Astyanax mexicanus: one gene and its partners. The protein of the gene in region 2 binds, or shares a complex with, the protein of the main gene of each other region. Links are inferred from orthologs where the notes say so. Each region holds a gene or a part of one and is shown on either strand. Other genes may lie near its edges.

The links. Proteins that work in one complex are often made in the same cells at the same time.
Region 1: taf1b (region 2) and rrn3 share a complex: the UniProt entries of both Homo sapiens proteins name them as parts of the pol I pre-initiation complex. The link is inferred for Astyanax mexicanus from reciprocal best matches to the Homo sapiens genes TAF1B and RRN3.
Region 3: taf1b (region 2) and taf1a share a complex: the UniProt entries of both Homo sapiens proteins name them as parts of the transcription factor SL1/TIF-IB complex. The link is inferred for Astyanax mexicanus from reciprocal best matches to the Homo sapiens genes TAF1B and TAF1A.

What each region holds. Positions count from the first base shown.
Region 1 is NC_064426.1:14,746,683-14,753,721, reverse strand, and holds the start of rrn3 (RNA polymerase I-specific transcription initiation factor RRN3), read left to right. Parts: upstream 1-4,032; 5' UTR 4,033-4,160; intron 4,161-4,261; exon of another isoform or gene 4,262-4,354; intron 4,355-4,996; 5' UTR 4,997-5,026; coding exon 5,027-5,119; intron 5,120-5,796; coding exon 5,797-5,853; intron 5,854-5,951; coding exon 5,952-6,041; intron 6,042-7,039. Other genes in the region: si:dkeyp-72e1.6 (transmembrane protein 238-like), read left to right, coding at 1-209. UniProt on the Homo sapiens protein: Required for efficient transcription initiation by RNA polymerase I (Pol I). Required for the formation of the competent pre-initiation complex (PIC).
Region 2 is NC_064408.1:76,081,627-76,089,049, forward strand, and holds the start of taf1b (TATA box-binding protein-associated factor RNA polymerase I subunit B), read left to right. Parts: upstream 1-4,409; 5' UTR 4,410-4,556; coding exon 4,557-4,574; intron 4,575-4,729; coding exon 4,730-4,828; intron 4,829-5,690; coding exon 5,691-5,781; intron 5,782-6,125; coding exon 6,126-6,223; intron 6,224-6,297; coding exon 6,298-6,390; intron 6,391-6,537; coding exon 6,538-6,616; intron 6,617-6,705; coding exon 6,706-6,880; intron 6,881-7,126; coding exon 7,127-7,226; intron 7,227-7,423. UniProt on the Homo sapiens protein: Component of RNA polymerase I core factor complex that acts as a GTF2B/TFIIB-like factor and plays a key role in multiple steps during transcription initiation such as pre-initiation complex (PIC) assembly and postpolymerase recruitment events in polymerase I (Pol I) transcription.
Region 3 is NC_064408.1:54,374,741-54,382,593, forward strand, and holds the start of taf1a (TATA box-binding protein-associated factor RNA polymerase I subunit A), read left to right. Parts: upstream 1-4,846; 5' UTR 4,847-5,030; coding exon 5,031-5,163; intron 5,164-6,372; coding exon 6,373-6,536; intron 6,537-7,721; coding exon 7,722-7,835; intron 7,836-7,853. Other genes in the region: mia3 (transport and Golgi organization protein 1 homolog), read right to left, coding at 70-190. UniProt on the Homo sapiens protein: Component of the transcription factor SL1/TIF-IB complex, which is involved in the assembly of the PIC (pre-initiation complex) during RNA polymerase I-dependent transcription.

The DNA.
Region 1 (7,039 bases), on a different chromosome or scaffold from region 2:
GGGCGCTGAGGAGGTTCTCCAGCCGCCTGTCCAGCGGGATCAGGGCGTCTCTGAGGAGGAACCAGCCCAACAACAACAACGCTGCTGGAAGAAGATCTGGAGCTGCGAAGAGAGGAGGCCCGGTGACTCTGGCCATGAACGCTGAGGATCTGAGCACTGTGTGTGAATCTGTGACCACTGTGGAAACTTCTCACACTTCAGCCATATGAACAGTGTCTTCACATGACCTTTCTTCAGTGATGGACATCACGTGGGATCATTTAAATAATGATTCTGTAAATTAACTCGTTTTAAAATGTTATTTCAGTAAATGAAGGTGTACACTCAGTTAAGATGTGTAAACCTTTGTTTTGTTTATAGAAGAACATATGCTAACTTATTAATAGCATCAGTAGTGTTATTCAATATTAGTTATTTTTCTTTTTGCTGCCCGTTACGTTAAATTTCATTAAATGTCATTTTAAATTACAATGTTAAGAACTACTACTAGAAAAAAAATATTTAAGGATATTCATTTTGTTAATAAAAACTAAGATGCTACTTAAGTTAGCTTACTTACTGCTAAGCATCAGTAGGAGGTTAGTTTAATAATATCTACTTTACAGTACTGCACAGTTTTTCCCCACACAATACATTTACATGTTCCTAAATGCTGTTTTAACTAGTATATAAATTAAATAGTATATATTTAAATGAAGGCATACATTCATTTAAGCTTTGTATGCCTTTGTTTAGTCTTTTTAGCTAATTATGCTAACATATTACAATCAATATAGTGTTTCTTTGGCTAGCTAACACTGCAAATTTTTTTGGCACATATTATGTTTAAATATTACTAAAAGTAATTTGAATATTTATATAAAACATTCTTTTAATTGTTAAATTGTAGAAGTAGTACACAATGCTAAATAAGAAGAGCTATACATTTTGTTTTTTTATGGTAATAGTTGATGCTGTAAACTTGCCTTTATTGTTGTTTGTGCTGATTTGGCTACCAATTATTTAAAAAATCTTTACATATCAATTAAGTATAAAATTACAGAAATTACACTTAATATTGGCATCACAAGTGATTTATTGTCCCAACATTGCTGTAGTATGACCTGCATTTTGTTACCTGTATTGTTTAACAGTCTTGCACAGGCTGAACCAACATTTCTTTATGTGTTTTTGACTCTTTGTTGTTAATTTTCCCTCAAAAATGGGCATTTCAGTTTGAGGAAGTACAGTCTTCAGAGAAATGAGAGCACATTAGCCTTCTTATCAGTCTGTTAACCATTAACCCCATTTTACTGAGGACCTGCCCAGTGCAAAAACCACACACTTAAAATGCGGGATGGAAAAATGATGTGTAACACCTGCTAGCAGTAGTGGAAGTTTCTGAACACACAGGACTGTCAGGTTAATAACGAAATAATTATCATGTAATTGAGAACTGTACAGAGAGACCATATTTACCGTTCTTTTTTTTTCTTTTTTTTTTGTATGCAGTTTGTTTTACAGTGTTTTTATACCTGTTTTTAATCAGCATTGCTGAGAAGATTCATTGCAGAAGACTAAATGATGAATATAATTATTTTGTTGTTATGTTTGTATTTGTTTACACTATGTTGATCAAATTTAATTTAGAATTGCTCAGGGTTTGACTGATTTTCAAAATATAGTGTATTACAGGTTATTAATGAGCTGTTTCAAATTCTAATTAGTAATCTGTTAGACAACAATTTTCAATGTAAAGCAATCGTATTAAATTTTGTTTTTGTAATTTGCAATGTTTTTTATGTTCTATTTAGAATTTACGTTAACCATCATTTACATTTGTGTCATTTTACTGATCGTTATGTTTTGTTTCTGAGACCCTGCCTTGTGAAATAATTAATAAATGAAGCAGTATTTTTTTATCTGGTGTTTCATACTGATTTTAATGGGGAAACCTTCACTGATATCCTTTTCTATGCTAAATTACACTCATAACCTTTGACCAATGAGGATCGTTGAATTGTAGATACTTCCTCTTATCTTCTGTTTGCTCTTATAAAATAGGAACGGCTGGCAGAGATGGTCAGAATTAATTGGTGGCAGTTTAAGTTGTCTACTCATATATTGTATGTATAGTTTAGTATACTGTTGTGTTATGGTTCAAGATTTTTGTATTTTATGTGCAGTTCAGATTCCTGCTGCTGCCCAGAGTTAAACACAAACAAGTAAACAATCAACTGTGATAGAAATATCTCAAATATACAGAAGGGAAAATAACTATTTGATTTTGTAAGTTTATTCCCTTACAAGGGCAGGAACAGTCTGTATTTTTAAGGTAGATTTATTTTGACAGCGACAGTCAGAATATAAAAAAAATCCATTGAATTAAGGTTATAAATTAATTTGTATTTTTACCAATTTGTATTATTACTAATTAAGCTATGCTAGCACTAGTAATGCCCCAACACCAGGAGGGTGAAGACTAGCACATGTCTCCTCCGTTAGCTGCTGTGGAGTAGCTAGTGCACTCAGCGGAAAGTACAGAGACTTGGCTCTGATACATCAACCCACAGATACCTCGTGCTGACCAGGACCAGGATTTGAACCAGCATTCTCCTGATCATAGTGTCTGCTGGACCACTCAGAGTCCCAGTGTTAATTTGTATTTGATTATGTGAAATAATAGAACATGACTTTGCAGAAAATTTCCAAATCCTAAAGGTTTAAGGGTGTCAGCAACTTTCCACATATTTTTTATGGGATTAAGGTTTGGGGACTGGCTAGGCCACTCCAGTACAATACAGTACAGTACAGTGTCTGTCCCCGTTAAAAGTAAACGTACCATAAAATTATAGCCATATAGACATATGTTCATGTCTTTTTAAACTTGAGTAAACTTGCTTAATCAGCAGGGGATTAAAAAATATTCACCCAAAAATATAAGTTGTTTGACCAAAAAAGGTTGGTTTATGATGTTGGTTGTTGAAGTAGGTCATCCAGAAAAAAATAATCCTACAACTATTCTAGCTAACTAAAATCAATCTGGTTGACCACCATAATCATGATTAACTTGCTTACCAGCATGACAGACTGACTTAGGTAGCCGACCAGTAAGCCAGTTTAGTCCATTAGACAAAATGAAATAGAATCCATGTCTGAAATGTCTGAAACTCTAAAAGCTCCTTCATAAAAATGTATTACAGCAAATGGTTATGAATACACTGTTTGATTGGTGGGTTTGGATAGTAAATAAAATATCAAAAGTATCAAGAAATTAGAGTTTGTAAGTTTTTTTCAAAAACAAACCAAAGATTTCAAAATAAACATATTCTAAATGTGTTAGTTTGACCCCTGAATGATGCTCAGAATTTTCTAAATTGTGTAGACTACATGTATTGTGTAAGCAATACATGTATTGTGTGTTAAACATGTTAAAATAAGTTTGCAAAATTAATTCAGTGAAAATCTGTGAATACTATAGAGATATTTTCATCAACAGCTGAAATTCATGTATTTTCAGAGAATTAACTACCTTGTGAACTACCTGAAGGTACTGAACTTTTAAAAATTTATTAATATGAACTTTTTTTCTTGCATTATTTGAGGTCTGAAAGCTCTACATCTTTTTTGTTATTTCGGACATTTCTCATTTTCTGCCAATAAATGCTCTAAATGACAATATTTTTATTTGGAATTTGGAAGAAATGTTGTCCGTAGTTTATAGAATAAAACAACAATGTTTATTTTACTCAAACATATACCTATAAATATCAAAATCAGAGAAACTGATTCAGAAACTAAAGTGTCTCTTATTTTTTTCCAGAGCTGAATGTTCAGCGCTATGCAGTATTGGAAACCTGTCAGGAGCATCGGCTAAAAGCTCTGTATTTCAGAGTGCTGGGGGTGAATGGAGGTGGTCTATTCGACACAAGTTTTACTCGTTATCGTGTTTTACTACAACCAGTCCATTTTCACTTCGGATTTCTCGTCTAATAAACCTCTTAGACCGCTGAGACCGGTGTTTTTACTCCAGGCCGGCGGGGGCGCTGTGAGAGCTGGCGGCTCTCCGCGGTTCTTGTTGTGAGAAGTCCAGCATGGTGCATGTGGCTCTCCAGTAGCAGCTGTAGGATTTTCTAAATATTGTGATTAAAGCAGTTTATCAGCGCGCGTATGGTAATGAGGTAGGTAATTTATATGTGTTTAATTGTTACAGTAACTGAAGAGTCGCGCTGTGGTGAAGCGACCCTTTATTAAACCTGTCCGCTTTACTGTGGACTAGTCCGGGCATGTTTATCAGAGGAACGCGGGGATTTAACACACTAACACACACTCATATCCGCGGGGAACAGGAGGGCTGGACATGTGCAGGGAAAATGTAAATATTCTAATGTCAAAAAATATCTTATTTAATAAGATATTTGCTATCTGCTTTTTTTATTTTCCTGTTCTACTTTAAATGCCTTAGGTACCAGAATGTAGTTAACTAGCTGCTGTACTGTTTAAGGTGAAACGGCAATTCCAAAAAGAAATCTGAATTAATACCTTAAAAAAATTAAAAGTATATATTGTGTTTGTTTTATTAATACTTTACAAAACACTACATGTGCTTCATATTTTTTTATATCTTTTTAATACTCTTGAATCACCTTAAAGTTATAACTACATTTGCAGAATCCTCTTAACACCAAAGCTATATCACCTGTATCAAGCATGTTTTAGTTAACATATAAGATACTAGACCTATAATAGTTAACTCTAAATTGAATGTTATAAAATGTATAATTATATATATATATATATATATATATATATATATATATATATATATATATATATATATATATTGTTTATAATTATAGTTTTTTTTATTATTATTAACTAAACAATTCCTGCAATTGTCAACATAGTTTTTTACTATATTTAACAGCTACATAAGCACTGGCTGCAATTTTTTTTTCATTAATATAATAAGGTTTATACTGATCAACAGTTTGCTGTGTTGCGATTTGTTTTCCAGATCTGATTGGTTATTCTTTAGAGGTTTAACATGGAAGTGGAAAGAGATTTTATGAACAGTCCTCCAATGAAAACAGTGCGATTTGGAAGCAGTGTAATCAACACGTTAGCCAAGGTGAAACAGGTAAGTTTTAATTCTGAATTAAATAGTTAAACAGTACTAGTCAAAACTTTGGACACACCTTTAATTTAGTTGTTTTTTACTTTAAAATGGTCTGCGTTGTAGATTAAGGTTAAAGTAATCAAAAATATGAAGAAAGGCATATAGAGTTTTTTAGAAAACTAAATAAGTGTTAAACAAATCAGAATATGTTTTATATTTTAGTTCTGTAAAGTAGCCCCTCTTGATTAGATGCCTGATTTGCACATCTTGGCTGGATTTTCTCTGTCAGCTTTATGAGGTATGTGAGCGTTCAGCTAACAGCGGTCCTAAACTTGTCAACAACACAGTGAAGAGCTCTATTTGAGTAAAGAAAACATACTTAATAAAATGAAGGTGTCAAACTGTAAAAAATGATTTTTTGATTGTTTTACACTTTTAAGTTCACTACACTATTCCTTTATTTACTATATCCTTCATTAATAGTGTTGAGGACTTCAATATTAATTTGCAATGTTAGAAAATAAATAATGGACATTGAATAAGAAAATGTTTCCAATAAGTTACCCTGAAAGGAGAGGGGACAGATGACTGAATCAGTTCATATTTGCTACAAAACATATACAAATACAGCAGAACAGCAAGGCTTTTTACAATTGGTATGTATTTAACGTCTCTCTTTTTTTTTTTTTTTTTTTAAGGGAGATACAGGTGATTATGAGCTGATAAAGCATCAACTTGCGGACCCGGACATCAAGGTACGAGTGTTTCTAAAGAAGTTCAATAAAAAATGAGTAAGGAATGCACAGGTGAATATGATTCACTGAGCCACAGCCCATCTCTCCTCCTGTTTCAGGATGCTCAGATTGTTAACTGGCTGCAGGAGTTCAGGAGCTGCGTCACTATGCTGGGAAAAGAACACGAGCAGCTGATCTATTCTGTCCTGGTAAGAACTACCATCATCACTATTTAGCTGTTTCAGAGTTAATCTATTTAATTCATTAGTTAATTCACTCACATTGTCAGTCAGTTGTTCACTTATTCATTTGCTCACTTGTTAAGTTTTCACTTTTGTATTTGTTTGATTACTCACTCACTCGCTTGTTTGTTAATTGTTTGGCTCACTCAGTTGGTCATTTGTTTCTTCATGTCCTCAATCTGTTACCCACATAGTCATGTATTCAATTTACTAATTTAATTACACACTCACTGATTGGTTCATTTCTTTACTTAATCTGTTGCTCACTCACCAAGACATTTAGATGCCTACTCATTAGTTTGCTCGCTTGTTAACTCTCTGAAATGTTCACACGTTGGCTCACCTGTCTGATCACTCTTTTGTTTTACTTGCTCTTGTCACAGTTGTTGACCTTCTAATAGGTCCTTCACAGAATAAGATGCCATAACAAGGTGACAGCTAGGGCTGGGGCGGTATTGATTTTTTATAACCGCGGTAAAAAACTAACGCATCACCGCGATATTGCGGTTAACCGCGAGACCCCAAACCAACCCCCCCCCCCCCACCCACCGCCCCCAAAAAAAAAAACACCACAAATTTATTGGTAACAAATCTTTATTCTTCAAACCATACAGCCTACATACAACCTCTACATAAACCATAAATACAGCATAACAAGTGAACATATGCTGCCTGTATAATTCGTCATTGTACAGCTAACCTGTCTTTTTCCGAGCAGACTTTTTGAAGGAGGAGCTTGTCCGCCTACCCCTTCTCCATCCATAGATCTATTTTAGGGCTGGCCCGAATAGCGGTTTTGAGCTCAGGATATTCGGCAGTAATTGGTAGCGAATATTCTAATATTCGTTTAAAAAAAAGACGAATTAATCCACAGCAAAATTTTCCACTGACCCCCGGCCCCGAAAAAAATATATTTCTCACCCCTTTCCTCGGGCCGTTCGGGCTCAAGGCTCAAGAAGTCTGTG
Region 2 (7,423 bases):
GGTTGCTAAAGTGTTGCTATGGTATCCAGGGTGGTTGCTATGGTGTTTCTAAGTGGTTGCTAGGTGATGTATATGCATATATTTGATTAAATGGTGTTTGCACGTTGCTACGCAACGTGCAAATACATCAATCAGCTATGCACGCTAGGTTGCTCTGGCCGTTCGGGGGTGTCCAAACTTTTGACCCGTGGCTCCATTACACACAGTACTGGGGGGCCAGGGTGTCCAAACTTTTGACCCGTGGCTCCATTACACACAGTACTGGGGGGCCGGGGTGTCCAAACTTTTGACCTAATGCTGTTTTATCCCATAGCTGCTCCATTACACAGAGTACTGGAGTTCTAGCTACCTGTCCTTCGATCTAGCTGCCGTCCTCCGATTGGCCCCATTCATTCCAATGGGGCCACTTCGTACGACAATCGTACGAAATCCGTACGACGTAACTTTTCGTAACGCATATTTTCGGAAAGAGCTCAATAAGTTCTACAGGTCCTCAATTGGTTTCATCTTCGTATTTCAAAAATTGCGACGTCCACGGGCGTGCAAAGTTCTGCCCATTCATTTTCAATGGTCAAAAAAACGCGTACTTACGAAGTTTTTACGAAAAACGTAAGTCCGATCGGAAAGCTGTATACAAGCCCACCATTCCCGATAAGGACGCACGTTTTCTCTTTTGAACGAAGTCGATATTTCGAAAACTGCGGCACTAGTTAACCGGACAAAAAACAGGTGGAATAATAATAATAAGAAGAAGAAGAAGAAGAAGAAGAAGAAGAAGAATAAGACTTAAGAAGATCAGTACTGTGATTGCATTACTGCAATCACACTAATAATAAGAATAAGACTTAAGAAGAACAATACTGTGATTGCATACTGCAATCACACTAACTAGGACTAGGAAACATACGGGCAGCAAGGATACATACAGACTAAGGATATAGGATACAAAATACAGGATACAAAATACAAAAGACAAAATACAAAAGACTCGACACTGAACATTCAAACAGAGGGGCTTAAATACAGGAGGGGAGTGAGAAACACCTGGGCTTGGATGACGAGGGGGCGGGGTTACAAACAGGACACAGGTGAGAACACTAATGGTTAGGACGGGACTAGGGCGGGGCTAGGGCGGAAACAGGTACACAAAACACAACACAAGCACATGGCAGGGAACACATGACAGGTAAACAGAGGGGCAGGAGCACTAGGGAACAAACGAGGGAGAAACATAACACAGACATGGGCTAAACTGTGACAAGCACAAAGAAACACTGAGCTGAACCAAGTCTCTAAAGAACAACCAACAATTAAAACACCAGGAATGTGGAAGAAATGCTAAAAGAGACACCCTAAAAACATTTGAACAAAACACTGACCAAGACTCAAAAGGAGCAGAGCCCCAAAGACATATGGTAGAAATACTAAGAATAACCAAGACTCAAAAGGAGCAAAGCCACAAATACATATGGTAGAAATACTAAGACTAACCAAGACTCAAAAGGAGCAGAGCCCCAAAGACATATGGTAGAAATACTAAGAATAACCAAGACTCAAAAGGAGCAGAGCCCCAAAGACATATGGTAGAAATACTAAGAATAACCAAGACTCAAAAGGAGCAGAGCCCCAAAGACATATGGTAGAAATACTAAGAATAACCAAGACTCAAAAGGAGCAGAGCCCCAAAGACATATGGTAGAAATACTAAGAATAACCAAGACTCAAAATGAGCAAAGCCCCAAAGACATATGGTAGAAATTCTAAGAATAACCAAGACTCAAAATGAGCAAAGCCCCAAAGACATATGGTAGAAATACTAAGAATAACCAAGACTCAAAAGGAGCAAAGCCCCAAAGACATATGGTAGAAATACTAAGAATAACCAAGACTCAAAAGGAGCAAAGCCCCAAAGACATATGGTAGAAATACTAAGAATAACCAAGACTCAAAATGAGAAACAACCTAAAACCATGTAGGCCAGGGATGGGCAACTTCCATGATGGAGAGGGCCACATTTTTTTCAGCATGACCATTGGAGGGCCACATGACCTCGCACTTCAAATAATTGAATATGAAAAACGCTACAAATGATTTTCAATAAGAACAAATTTTATATGAATTTATATCTGTATGTTTACAGCACCAACATTTATCAACAACTATTTTCTGCATATTAATGCATTTTAATACGGCAAAAGACAAACCGTTTGCTTAAAAAAAGTGCAAAAAGGAAGTCCTTCATATCAAAGAACAAAAAGTTTGCTTAAAAAACTGATTGCAAATACAGTAGTTCCTCTGTGTAAAATAAGTTCATTATAACAAGTCCTTCATAAGCAACAAGGACAAAACATTTGCTTATAAAAGTGCAAAAGGCATTTGAACTCATTTATAACAAAGAACAAAAAAGATTTAAAAACTGATTGCAAATAGCTCATTCAATAATAGCAGAAAACTAGACCACAGAGGCCCAACATTTATTGAAGCTAATGAGAGAGCTGTGGTTTGGCCTGCTGGCTCACAATGGACTGGATGTCAATGTCAATTTTCGTGGTTGTTTGGTCAAAAGTAGAATTACGTTTTTTTTGTTGTTTTTTTTTTATTTTTATTATGAAATTATTAAATTATTTTTGATCTATTCGCGGGCCGCACTGAGTGATGACGAGGGCCGTGTGCGGCCCCCGGGCCGCCAGTTGCCCATCCCTGATGTAGGCAAACAAACAACTGAACTAAACCAAACAAGGATGAACGCCAAAGAAACGCTAAGAAGAACCGATACTTAAAAAATAAAACCTCCTAGTAGAATAAGAAAACAAAAAAGGAAAAAATGTTTAGGCAGTTTTGTAGTTAACAGTAAAAGCTGTTTTCAAGCTAGTTTTCTAGTAAATTAATTGGGAGCTTAAAGAATAAAACCCATTTTCACAAAATCCACTCATATATGAAGGAAATCACTTACATGCAGATCTTGAATCAGGTTTAAATACAGCTAAAAAGATAAAGGAACTGTTAATTCAGGAAAATAATGTCGATGGAAACTTACCAGTATCTTCCAGTAAAGATGTTTAGGCTGTAAAATGCTCGCTGGCTGACTGAACTAGTATTAGTGCTGCCAAGTCTGTTCAGCTCATGTTGAACAGGTATAAATATGAGGTAGATATTTTTTAATACTGTTTTTTGTGATGAGAGAACGTATGCAGCTGTCTGTATAAATGCAAAATCATTTATTTACAGATCTTTATTAAAAGGCCCTTAGAAATCCATTATTTTGATACAAGCGGGAGCGCCCTCTAGTGTCTGACCAGGGAGCAGGTTTATGTAGAGGGACCGCCCACTGCTTCATACCTCCACTGATCTCCACCAGATAACCACTGCTCACCGCTAGAGGGAGCCCGCCAGAGAGACCTCAATGAATGGGGTTAAATGAAGCTAAACAGGTAAAACACAAATTAAAAATAGTATAAAACAACGTATTTAGGGGATCCCTAGAATTTCAGAAAGTTAATTGAAGTACTTTGTTAATCAATCAATCAACCATTATTTTGACTCAGAGAAGAACATTAATGCCAACACTCATTTTCAATGTAGTCAAACACTTACAAAAATAGGGATTGACACAACGAAGACAATAATAACTACATTTAATCATTATCATAACCATAAATGAAAATAAATGTTAAGATAACAGTGATAAAATAGATACTATTAGATAAAATAAAACATGAGGTTTAATTGATAAGAAATTACGATAAAAAAAAGATAAGAGATTATTAAAATAAAACAGTACAAAATTAAGCTAAAACACACTTACATAGTACAAAAGAAGTACTATGTAAGTTAAAGGGTTTCAGACAGTAGATCATCTAGCATCACTGCTGGCTGACTGGTTGGTGAACAGGTCCTAGAGATCAGAGATGTAACTACAGTAGTGAAGTAGAACTATTATATTGTTTATGTGCTGCATCGTTACTTGTTACAATTATGAAAATGTTAGGAATCATCTCAAACCCACATTATCACTAAGGCCAGAGTGGTAGATGCTCTGCACTGGCAATGGGTTTGATGAAGCTGCTCATCACTGAATCAAATGATTATCCTGATCTTATAAGAAGACCACACTGCACCCGCTCTGTCTTTCACGCTGCTTTCCACTTTTCACCGCTTTCTGTAATAACTACAGTACTGTACGTTTACTTTCAGAACTTTACTTTGAGCACAGTTTTTACTCGAGTCTGAGTCTCTAGTACTCATATAGAGTTTAAAAACTTTCAATATGAAACATTTATAAACTCTGATTTTGCTCAAACGCTTCATATGAACCCATTCATTTTGGATTCACTCAAAAGCGCCCTCTAGTGGTGTAACAAACCCAGATGAGATTCTTGTGACACTGAGACTTTTATGTTGAAAAATAGATCCTGAAAGCCATTTTGGAAAACTGAGCGTGTAGTAAAGCGTGTTGTGGTAAATTTAAAACTGTGGGAGATACAGTGAGTGAAGCTGTCTAAACTCAGTTGAATGGATATGTCTCCTCCCTGAAACAACACAGAAGTCATTCAGACATGGACGAACATCTAACAGTGAGTTTAAACTGTGAAAAATATTAAACTAGCTGTGATATTGATAAACAGTTAATATGCTGCAGTGTTAATGCCGTATTGTTTGATCTGTGTGTGTGTGTGTGTGTGTGTGTGTGTGTGTGTGTGTGTGTGTGTGTGTGTGTGTGTGTTCTCAGGAGGGCTACAGTGAGCCCTGTAAGCAGTGTGGAGCTGTGTCCTGGGCGCTCTCAGATGGGTGTCAGTTCTTCTGCAGGAACTGCCACAATGTGATCGAGGTAACCACAACAGCTTCAGTCTGTTATGAGGAAAGACCACTTAAGTTTCTGAATCAGTTTTTCTGATTTTGCTATTTATAGGTATATATGAGTAAAATCAACGACATTTCTCCCAAATTCCAAGTAAAAAAATTGTCATTTAACGTTAGAGCATTTATTTGCAGAAAATGAGAAATGGCTGAAATAAAAAAGATGCAGAGCATTCAGACCTCAAATCATGCAAAGAAAACAAGTTCATATTCATGAAGTTTAAAGAGTTCAGAAATCAGTATTTGGTGAAATAACCCTGGTTTTTAATCACACTTTTCATGCATTTTGGCATGTTATCCTCCACCAGTCTTACACATTGCTTTTGGATGACTTTATGTCAGTCCTGGTGCAAAAATTTCAAGCAGTTCAGCTTGGTTTAATGGCTTGTGATCATCCACCTTCCTCTTGATTATATTCCAGAGGTTTTCAGTTTGGTAAAATAAAAGAAACTCATCATTTTTAGGTGGTTTCTTTTTTTCCAGAGCTGTATATATGATTGTGTACGATGTATATGTATGTATTACATGACTTGTTAAATTCAATTCAATTGAAGTTTGTGTGTGCAAACAGATATTGTAGGTGTTATTGACAGTTGTTTTATGGCTTTTCTATTGTTCAATATTTTAATTGTATCATATCAATTGAAACCAAGAAATATATTGTGATATAAACTGTTGACCATATCATTCAACCCCATATCATCCAACCCTGTTATAACTGAGAAAGATTTCAATTTTGTTGTTCTAATTTCACAATCCTTTATTTTCTTCACATTATATTTTTCCTACAAATACTGTATCTAATTTGTGACCTGTCATTTGGTTGTTTACAGAAAACACAAGATGTTGTGGATGTATCCTCATTTATTCTAAACAATAAAATATCCTCCATATCATCAAGCTCACGCAAGAAAACGAGAAGAGGTAAGTCACAGCTGTAATCTGCTCATACAGTATGCTCTGAAAAGATATGATATACACTGCATGTCCATTTTTTCAGAAACCTCATATAATTGTTGAATCCAGTAAAACCCAGGCATTTATCTGAGCACAACAGTGAAATATAACTAATCTGGAACAGCCACATATGAAAAGACAAAGAAGTCCCTTGGCATTAGGATTAGCTGATTTTTGTAGAAATAGAAAAATAACTGGTATTCTATACAAAAAAGTTGTCTTTTGGTCAAGGATCCCTAAGCATTTATGCAAGAATATGTGGTGTGTTGTAACAAAACTGTTGTTTATCTTCTTTTTGCCTGACCCATCAGAAGGTGGACGAGAGTGGATGGTATGTGAAGGATTTCAGTTCATCCTAAAACTTCAGGCAGAAGCTTTGGTTGGTCTGGGTGTGTGCCCACAGTTTAAGGTCAGTAAAGCTCTGCAAATATGTGCAGGTACCAAGATGAGCTTTTATTTATTTAAATAAATTATATTTTACAGACAGATGTGCTCTGGGATTTCTGGAAGCGATACCTTCAGATAACCAGGCAGGCTTACACAAGATCACCAGTGAACAGTTTTACAAATACAGTGGTGAGTGTGGAGCGGTCGTTCTATTGCCTGGGCTTGTCAGGGGTTCCAATTTGCTGTGAAAATTATTGCTCTTTTATGTGAGTGAATTACACACTATACTTTTACATGGTACTCATTTTTGCTATGTTTCTTAAACCAACTCTGCAGTACCTATCCTCTGAGAGTGAGCCGGAGTCTGCATTTCTAAGTGAAGCATCAGATCAGACAGAGCCTATGTCAGCCTCAGGTATGGTTTTTACTTACATTTACTCTTGTCTTTTCAGTTTTCTGGGTTGTGTTGTGTTGGTAGGTTAAATACATGTGTGTCTTTTACAGGACATTCCACTGATGGGAGATCTTCAGTGTGTTCAGGCTCTCTGGATGCCGCATGCTACCTCAGTGCAAAGGAGAGGAGGAGTCGCCAACTCATGAACATGCCCCGGACGCTGGCGCTGTGCCATCTGGCCCTGCTTTGGCTTCGGGAGGCCATCACACTGGCAGATTTGCTCAGGTGAATGAAAAGAGTGTTTTGTGTTGTCATTTTTTTTGTCACGAATGTAGTTTTACTCTTATATATAGATACATAAATATGATATTCAGGATTTAATTGCACAGGTTGTTCTGGGTATTTTTTTTTCTTTATTGTGTTTTTTTTTGTTATTAAATAATTTTATTTAACATAAAAATAAAGACTGTACACATTTCCTTTTACACATTTCTCTACAAGACATTAAAGTGTAGTATTTCTGTGTTGCAGGTTAGTGTCCAGGAGGCTCATTCCTTACATTAACGTCTATGAGGAGTTCCCGGAAGAGATGCAGTTTTATGGCAGGGATGCCATAATCTTTAGAGTGGAGGTGGGCAAACAAAATGATATAGCAGTAGTCTGTGTTAGCAGGTCTTATTTGGCATATAAATGCTGTCTTATGCAATTTTAGACACTTCTGCACAACATGTCTATGAATGCTGATTTCTGAGAACAATTATTTTGCTTTAAAAAGACAGCGGTTGTGCTATGATATTTAACAAAATGCATGTTTTTTTCCATTACTGT
Region 3 (7,853 bases), about 22 Mb from region 2:
GTAGTTCAGCTGAATACATAGTACATGCCCCAGTAGTACATAGTACACCAGACCCCTTTAATTACTTACTACTGCACTCGTCGTCCGCACATCTCTTAAAGTCGGAAAATCGCCGCTCCAGAGAGGCGTGTGTAAAACGCACACAGAAAAACAGTATAAAAGGGTAAAAACGCCACAGCAGCGCTGTCATGTTGGCTGGTTGGGATAGGGCAGCGGGCTGCCTGAGCGGGGGCACAGCGCTGAGCCGAGCCGAGCCGACACGTCAGCAGATCTGCAGCCGCTGCTGCGTCTGTACCGAGTCTGATGCTCCAGGCAAGCAGGAGAAAAAAGACTGGAGTCATGTTACACAGGATCCGGGAACACTTAAAGACACAGACTCACAGGAACTTCCCCACACTCTGTAGAAGAAAACCAAACAACAAAGAACATTGAATAAGCATAATTGTATGGTTGTATTACATTTTGTATGTTGATGATGGAAAAACGACATTTAAACAACATTAACACGACATTATTGGCTAGCATTAAAATTCTGACATTAACCTTTTAACATGCCTTGTCTCGTATACAGGCTACAGGTGTAGGTGATACAAAACTATTTCTTTCTGCAGTAAAAAAAAAAAAGATTATTCACACTCTGACAACTTTGAGGGCTTTGAAGACTCTTACAGGTTTCTTGAAGAAGCTGCCTGACCACTCTCTTCTCCACTTAATAATATCAGATCAGTAACAGGAATCAAACAAATTACTGCAGGTTTGAAAATAGACATAAAAACTAGACAACAGTAACAAAACGAAAGGTTTGGAGGACAATACAAGTTTCATTTGTATTCAGGAAAATACTGATTTTAAAGTGAAGTTTAGGAAAGTACCAATGTTATGATTATTATTCATTATATTTGTAAAGGGGCAGATTTATTTATAAATTGTAAAATAATTTCTGTTACATTTACAATTATAATTTGTAGTCACTTTTATTACAATAAATGAAAGCTTTTTATATAATGCTTGATTTTTTTTTAAAGATTAAGGTGTGTAATATCAGGGTGAAAATGAACAAATATTCTAATCTGTTAAATCAACGTTCATTTAAAGGTTTTTATGTTTAAGGCTCTTCACCACTCACAATGATTTAGCCGAAACGTGCTCCCAATTAAATAATAATTATTGTTATCTGTTTTAGACTGGACTCAAGTCAAAAAAAGAACTTCTTCAAAGAGAAGCAAAGAAGAGACAGTGATCTGCAATGATCTGGGGATGCTTCAGCAAGGCTGGAATTGGGCAGTTTGGTCTTTGCGAATGACGCATGAATCAAGCTGCATACAAGGTTATCCTGGAAGAAAACTTCCTTCTATCTACTCTACCAATGTTCCCAACTCTGGGGAATGTTTTTCTTTTTCTATCAGGACAATGCTCAATTCCACACAGCTAGATCAATTAGGGTGTGGATGAAGAACCACCAGATCATGGTGTCATGGCCAGCACAATCTCCAGCCCTGAACCCCATTGAAAACCTATGGAATGTAATCAAGAGGTAGATGGTCACAAGCCATCAAGCTGAACTGCTTGAATTTTTTGCCAGGAGTCTCATAAGTGGCAAAGCAGTTTGAAAGACTGAAAGACTCTTTCTTAGTTACTTTTGTATTGTTGTTTCTAAATAAATATATTAACTTTTTTTGTTTGCATTATTTAAGTTTGAAAGCACTGCACCTATTTTGTTAATTTGACCTTTTCTTATTTTCTGCAAATGTATTATTTTTTATATTTTAAATATACAATGTTTTTATTTGGAATTTGGGAGAAATGTCATCAGTAGTTTCTAGAATAAAATCACAATGTTTATTTTACTCAAATATATACCTATAGATAACAAGGCTGAAGTTTGTTTGATATTCGCAGCTCCAGATTAGATAGTTGTTATGCAAGAAGCAACCCCAAAGTTAATTGAGAAAGTGATTTAGTTTTTTGTACATTGGTAAATAAAATGGAAAAAAAAAATCTGAGAGCTCAAACTGAACTGTATCCTGTCATCCAGATTTTATCTAGGCCCTGCTAACCCCAGGGTCTCATAACTGCCCACCCCACACACCATGTGGGGTGAACATGAGCAAAGGCCAGCACGGTAGTGGGGAGGGGGGATAATCGTGCTCCAGCATGGTTTAAACAAAGCGTGCCCAGTGTATGCCATAGACACTCCTACCTATTGCTGCTCCACACTGTAAATATAAAGTCAAAGAGACTCATCTGCTGCACAGTTTGTGTTGATCATTCTTTAGTTCTGTAGTTCAGTGGGTACCGGACACTTTCTAATGGAGGCTGGCCACAGGATATGTTTAAAAGTTGTCTGATTCAGTTGTACCAGCACAACACAAACTAATAACACACAACCACCATGCCAGTGTCACTGCAGAGCTGAGAATGATCCACCAATCAACCATCAATGCAGTAAAGAACATTGAGATCTCAGAGCTACATATGCTGCCTTTAGGACCACAACTTTTCCAGGCCGTTGCAAAAGAAGGTACTGGTACCGAACTGGCCTGCCTGCAGTCCTGATCTGTTCCTGGTAGATATCCCTGTACTGTTGCACATCTTTAGATGAAGAATGAGACAAAATAACACCCGAAACACTTAATCACTTGATATCCTCTGTGCCTAAATATCTTCATAAAGTCCTGTGATAAACAATGGTAAGATTACAAAGTGGGAAATGCTTTACTGTCCTTTTGGAATATTTTGCTGAAATGTGTTTCAGGGCTGTTACTCAAGAATTAATGAACAATAATAAATCAAATGAACAAAAAAACATAAAGATAAAAATGTAAGACATTTTTCTTATTTGGGGTTTTAAATGTGGTCACAATTACTCCCTATATAAGGTATAATGGATATTTTCATAATTCCTGAAAATTGAATATAAAATACTGCACAACCAGTTAATATAATCCAAGTTCTCACTGTTTTCAGGAAGTGTGAGAAATGGCACATTGTGTACATAGGCTTGGTGTGTATTTCTACAGGTTTACAGCTGCTTATCTATCTTCTCTAAAAGGAATTCATCTGAACCTGAAGTGTGATCTTATCTAAGCCATAAATAAAACTGATTAAAGAAATGCACAAAATTGCATAATTATAGTCATACATTGTTTTTTTTTCACTTATATTTTAATTAATTGGAGCTCACCAGCTTGTGTGAACAGTTATATTGTATAAACGATCCACAATCAATTTAATCCTTAGATGCATAGTAAGTCAAAAATTACCCAAACATCTTTCTTGCAATATCTTCAAAATGAGAAGTTCTCATTTCATATTTCAGATATTCCTTAAATAATATATTACTGGAATCATGCCACATTCATTTTAACTTACCTTTTATACATTTTACTAAAATCTACTAAGTCTTTTGTATTATCGCCCCAATGGTGGTCAAGAATTACCCGCATTAATATCCTGTAAAAATGCATGGGAACAATTGATTATCAGCTGTGACAGAAATAAATATTTTGTGGACCACATAGATGATATCAAAAATGTCACCCTTTAAGAATATTATTTTACCTTAATTTTTTTAACCCCCACCAAAATGATGTGTGTATGTCTAATTAAAATATATGTGTGTGTGTGTGTGTGTGTGTGTGTGTGATTCATGTCTGTGAAGGAGTGTTTCTTATCATAAAAATAGCTTATTTTTCAGTTTTTCAGCAAGTGTGCTTCTTGACAAATAAAACATGATCTCTTTCTGTTTCCCTTAGACTGTCTATGTGAGAAATCATTTACCATGTCAAGTAGTACAGGCCTTAGTGTCCAACATTGCTGTGATGAGTGAAGCCTCTATACAGCAGCAAATAGAAATCAAGATCTCTGGTGCTGCATGCTCGTGTCGTGTGCAATTAAAATGTTTAAATTCAAATGTTTCATTAGAATGTTTGCTAATTTTAAGCTAAATGAGTCAAATATTCCATTCTAATTTAGAATGTATTTAAAAAGTTGATCTGAAGTCATTCTGAAATAAATAAATAAAAAACTAGACATATGAAACTTGGCCATGTTATGTTATCTGTTCTCAGCCTGAATACCATTTGCTATTTTTTGAAAACACAACAGAACTTCTAGACTTTTCTCACATTCATTTACATAAGACAACCGGACATCAGGTGAACGAATGTGTACGGTTTGAGCCGCATCTACAGTATACAGCAATATATAGCAGTATACAGTTTTCAGTGATGATCACCTGCTATTAGAGAAGAGCACAGTGGCTACACTTTTACTCTTTCTTTAACAAGAATGACCAACATATAATGTCTGTGTGCCATTCTAGGTGAGCACAATGCAGGCCCCCTTGTGAAAAAGTGTTTGGCCCCCTAAACCTAATAACTTGGTTGTGCCACCCTTGGCAGCAACAACTGCAATCAAGCTTTACCGATAACTGGCAACCAGTCTTTCACATCTCTGCTCTGTGGAGGAATTTTGGTCCACTCCTCTTTACAGAAATGTTTTAATTCCACCATATTGGAGGATTTTTGAGCATAAACATCTTGTTTAAGATCATGACACAGCATCTCAATCGGACATTGACTAGACCACTCAAAAACCTTCATTTAGTTCATTAATTTTTCTTTAAATGACTTTATTCTACTTCCCAGAATTGATGTAACACCCTGGATTAGTTACTAATGAGTGTAGCTCCATTCACTGAGGACTCAGTCGCGGACTCCCTCTAGCGGAGTGCAGCAGTGCTCTGAGGAGGAGGCAGGAGGTGGGTAGACGCTCTGGTTCCTCTCCGACGGTAGATGGCGGTATGCGCTGAAACCATGCGGTGAACCTGCAGTTAGTCTGTAGAAAAACAAAGAGCACGTGAGTTTCATACGAGCGGGAGACGCGCTGTAGATAGAGAGAGAGGCCACACTCAGATAACTCCACAGCAGCAGAGCCCCTGTACGAGCTCTTACCACACAGCCCCTCTCACCAGAGAGAGAACTGAGAACACTGAACATACAGGACTGTCTATTGTGAGTCTGTCGGTTATGGATGATATCGAAGCAGAGCTCGGTATTTCTCGATCAGTAGGAAATGAAGACTTTTCAGACTCTTCAGAGGATGAAAGAGTTGCCAGGAAGATCAGACCGCCTATTCTACTGCACTCCTCCACCGCTCAGGGTAATGTATCTTAATAAAAATACACTAATCTCAGCTGCTGCACCACAATAAAAAACACTTCATATTCAGTTTTAACTGGTAAAAACTCAAATTACACATCAGATTTGACTAGAAAAAAACGCCCCTTGCAGTGATCAGCAATACAATATTTACCAGTAATAATATCAGATCTACAGCTCTATAAAATCATTCTCACTACTCATACTGTCAGGAACACATCCTGAGTGTAATTCTGACTAGTCATATGATATCCCTGATTTACACGGAATTTCACTTTTTTATCTACAGTTACATTTTACCAGTTAGATGCTCTTAAGTTAATTGAAATTGAATGAAATTGTAATTCCAGGTAGCCTATATACACTGTAATTCAACTCAGGTATTGACATCTACAGTTCAGGTTTCGATTAGTAATAATATTATTATTTCCTGGTAAGAATAACAGTGTAGATGTGTGGAACTAGTACTACATTATTTTACTAGAAAATTGTAGATCTTTGAAACTTTAATGTTTTAACTAGTTAAATATAATTATAGAGCAAAGAATGTGAGATTACTTGTTAGTCAGTGGTAACCTGACTAGTCAGAATTACATTATGGACGTGTTACTTATACTGTCTAAAAAAATGTAAGGGAACACTAAAATTCCAGTTGAAAATCTTTACAGATATAAATTGTATAATAAGTTGGGTGGGCAGAAAATCTAAGTAAAACATTGAAATATTAGGCTCATCCAATTTCTGTAAGTTTAATAACAGAAACTCAATGTTTTTTCAAATCCTTCATTAAAGTGCACACTGGTGACTGGGGCTGGGGAAGGAAATTTAATTCAATATTTTAGATTGGAAACGTGAATGCCTTTGGGAAAAATCCTATGCATACTTAGGTAGTATGTATTTAGCATATTTAGTTTGAACATTAGGTGAGCAATGTTTTATCCAGTGAGAGGAATCTGTCTTATATGTTCATTTTCCTGTAAATAAGGGAAAATTATTAAAAATATATTTTTATGTGCCCATTGGAAAATCCAAGTTTCCAACCAGTGAATATGAATTTGTGTATGCGTTTTTGAGATTTCCAACACAAAGGCAGCATTGAGCTTGTTAATGTATGTGCCTCAGGCTATGCTTGTAGGTGAAAGGGTACATACACTTGATTGCAGACATTACTTATTTGTATTTTCCACTTACAATAATTATTTCATTTTAGCAAGGGCTAAAGAAAGTGGTTTTCACGAATCTTCAAGACTATGTCTGAAGGCCATAAGAGACGCTATGCTGCACCATCATTGGCAAGAGGCAGCACAGTACTTGTCTGCTTACTCTCAGACACTGGAAGATACCACAGTCAACAAGCAGTCACTAGCCTGTGAGGTAAGCAATTCTCTTTGAGATTACTTGGATTTCTGCGTAAATTGGTAATTAAATGTCACAACAATAGACAAACACAGTCTGCTTAAACTAGTATCACATATGTTTGCATGGTTTTATTGAATAACTGGTTGACCCTCCTTTGGCAGCAAAAACATCAACCAAACATTTCCTGTAGTTGCAGAGCAGACCTTCACAACGGTCAGGAGGAATTTTGGATCATTTATCTTCACAAAACTGTTTCTGTTCAGCAATATTCTAGGGATTTCTGGTGTGAATCGCTCTCTTGAGGTCATGCTACAGCATCTCAACTGGGTTAAGGTCAGGATTCTCCAGAAGGATTTTTTTTTTCCGTTGAAGCCAACTAAAATGTTAGCATGTGCCAGAGATTTCTGTACGTCTTTAGCTGACACTCTAGTATTCTTCCTCACCTCATTGATCATTCTGCGCTGTGCTCTTGCAGTCATCTTTACAGGACGACCACGTCTAGCGAGAGTCGCAACAGTGCTGAACTTTCTCCATTTTTAGAGTGTCTGTTTTACCGTGGACACATGAACATCAAAGGCTTTTAGAGATACTTTTGTAACTCTTTCCAGCTACATGCAAGTCAACAATTCTTGAACGTGGGTCTCCTGAGAGCTCTTTTGTGCGAGGTATGATTCACAATCAATGCTTTTTAAGAACAGCAAACTCAAAACTGGTGTATGTTTTTTAGGGCAGGGCAGCTTTAACCAACACAATCACCAATCTCATCACATCCTGGTTCCAATTAGCTCTTAGAAAAGTCATTAGCCTAGAGGTTCACATAATTTGTTAACATGTTGTGTTTAATGAAATCAGGCAAACATATATCTTTTTTGTGGTATTAGTTTAAGCAGATTGTGTTTGTCTATTGTTGTGACTGATGAATATTAGAACACATTTAATGATCAATTTATGCAAAAATCCATGTAATCCCAAAGAGTTCACATACTTTTTCTTGCAAATTTATATCCCAATGTTTATAAAAGGCAATCTCATAACTGTGCAGTAATTAAGGATATTGTACTAGTGTTAACTGATGCTCTGTAAAATACAGGTACAAAGTGGGACTTTGTGCTGAAACAATGACATACCAACTGATGTTTTGAATTGTTTGTTTAAATGACACCATTGTTTACAGTTTCAAGTGTTTTCTTTAATCCTCAGATTATTTGGAGACTAGGCACAGAGATTCTTCAGCATCATCCAAACTCTCGATTGGAAGATTTTAATGCTTTGTATGAACAGATGAAAAACTCTGGAGTGAAAAATTATGCTAAGGTATTATTATTTAAACAT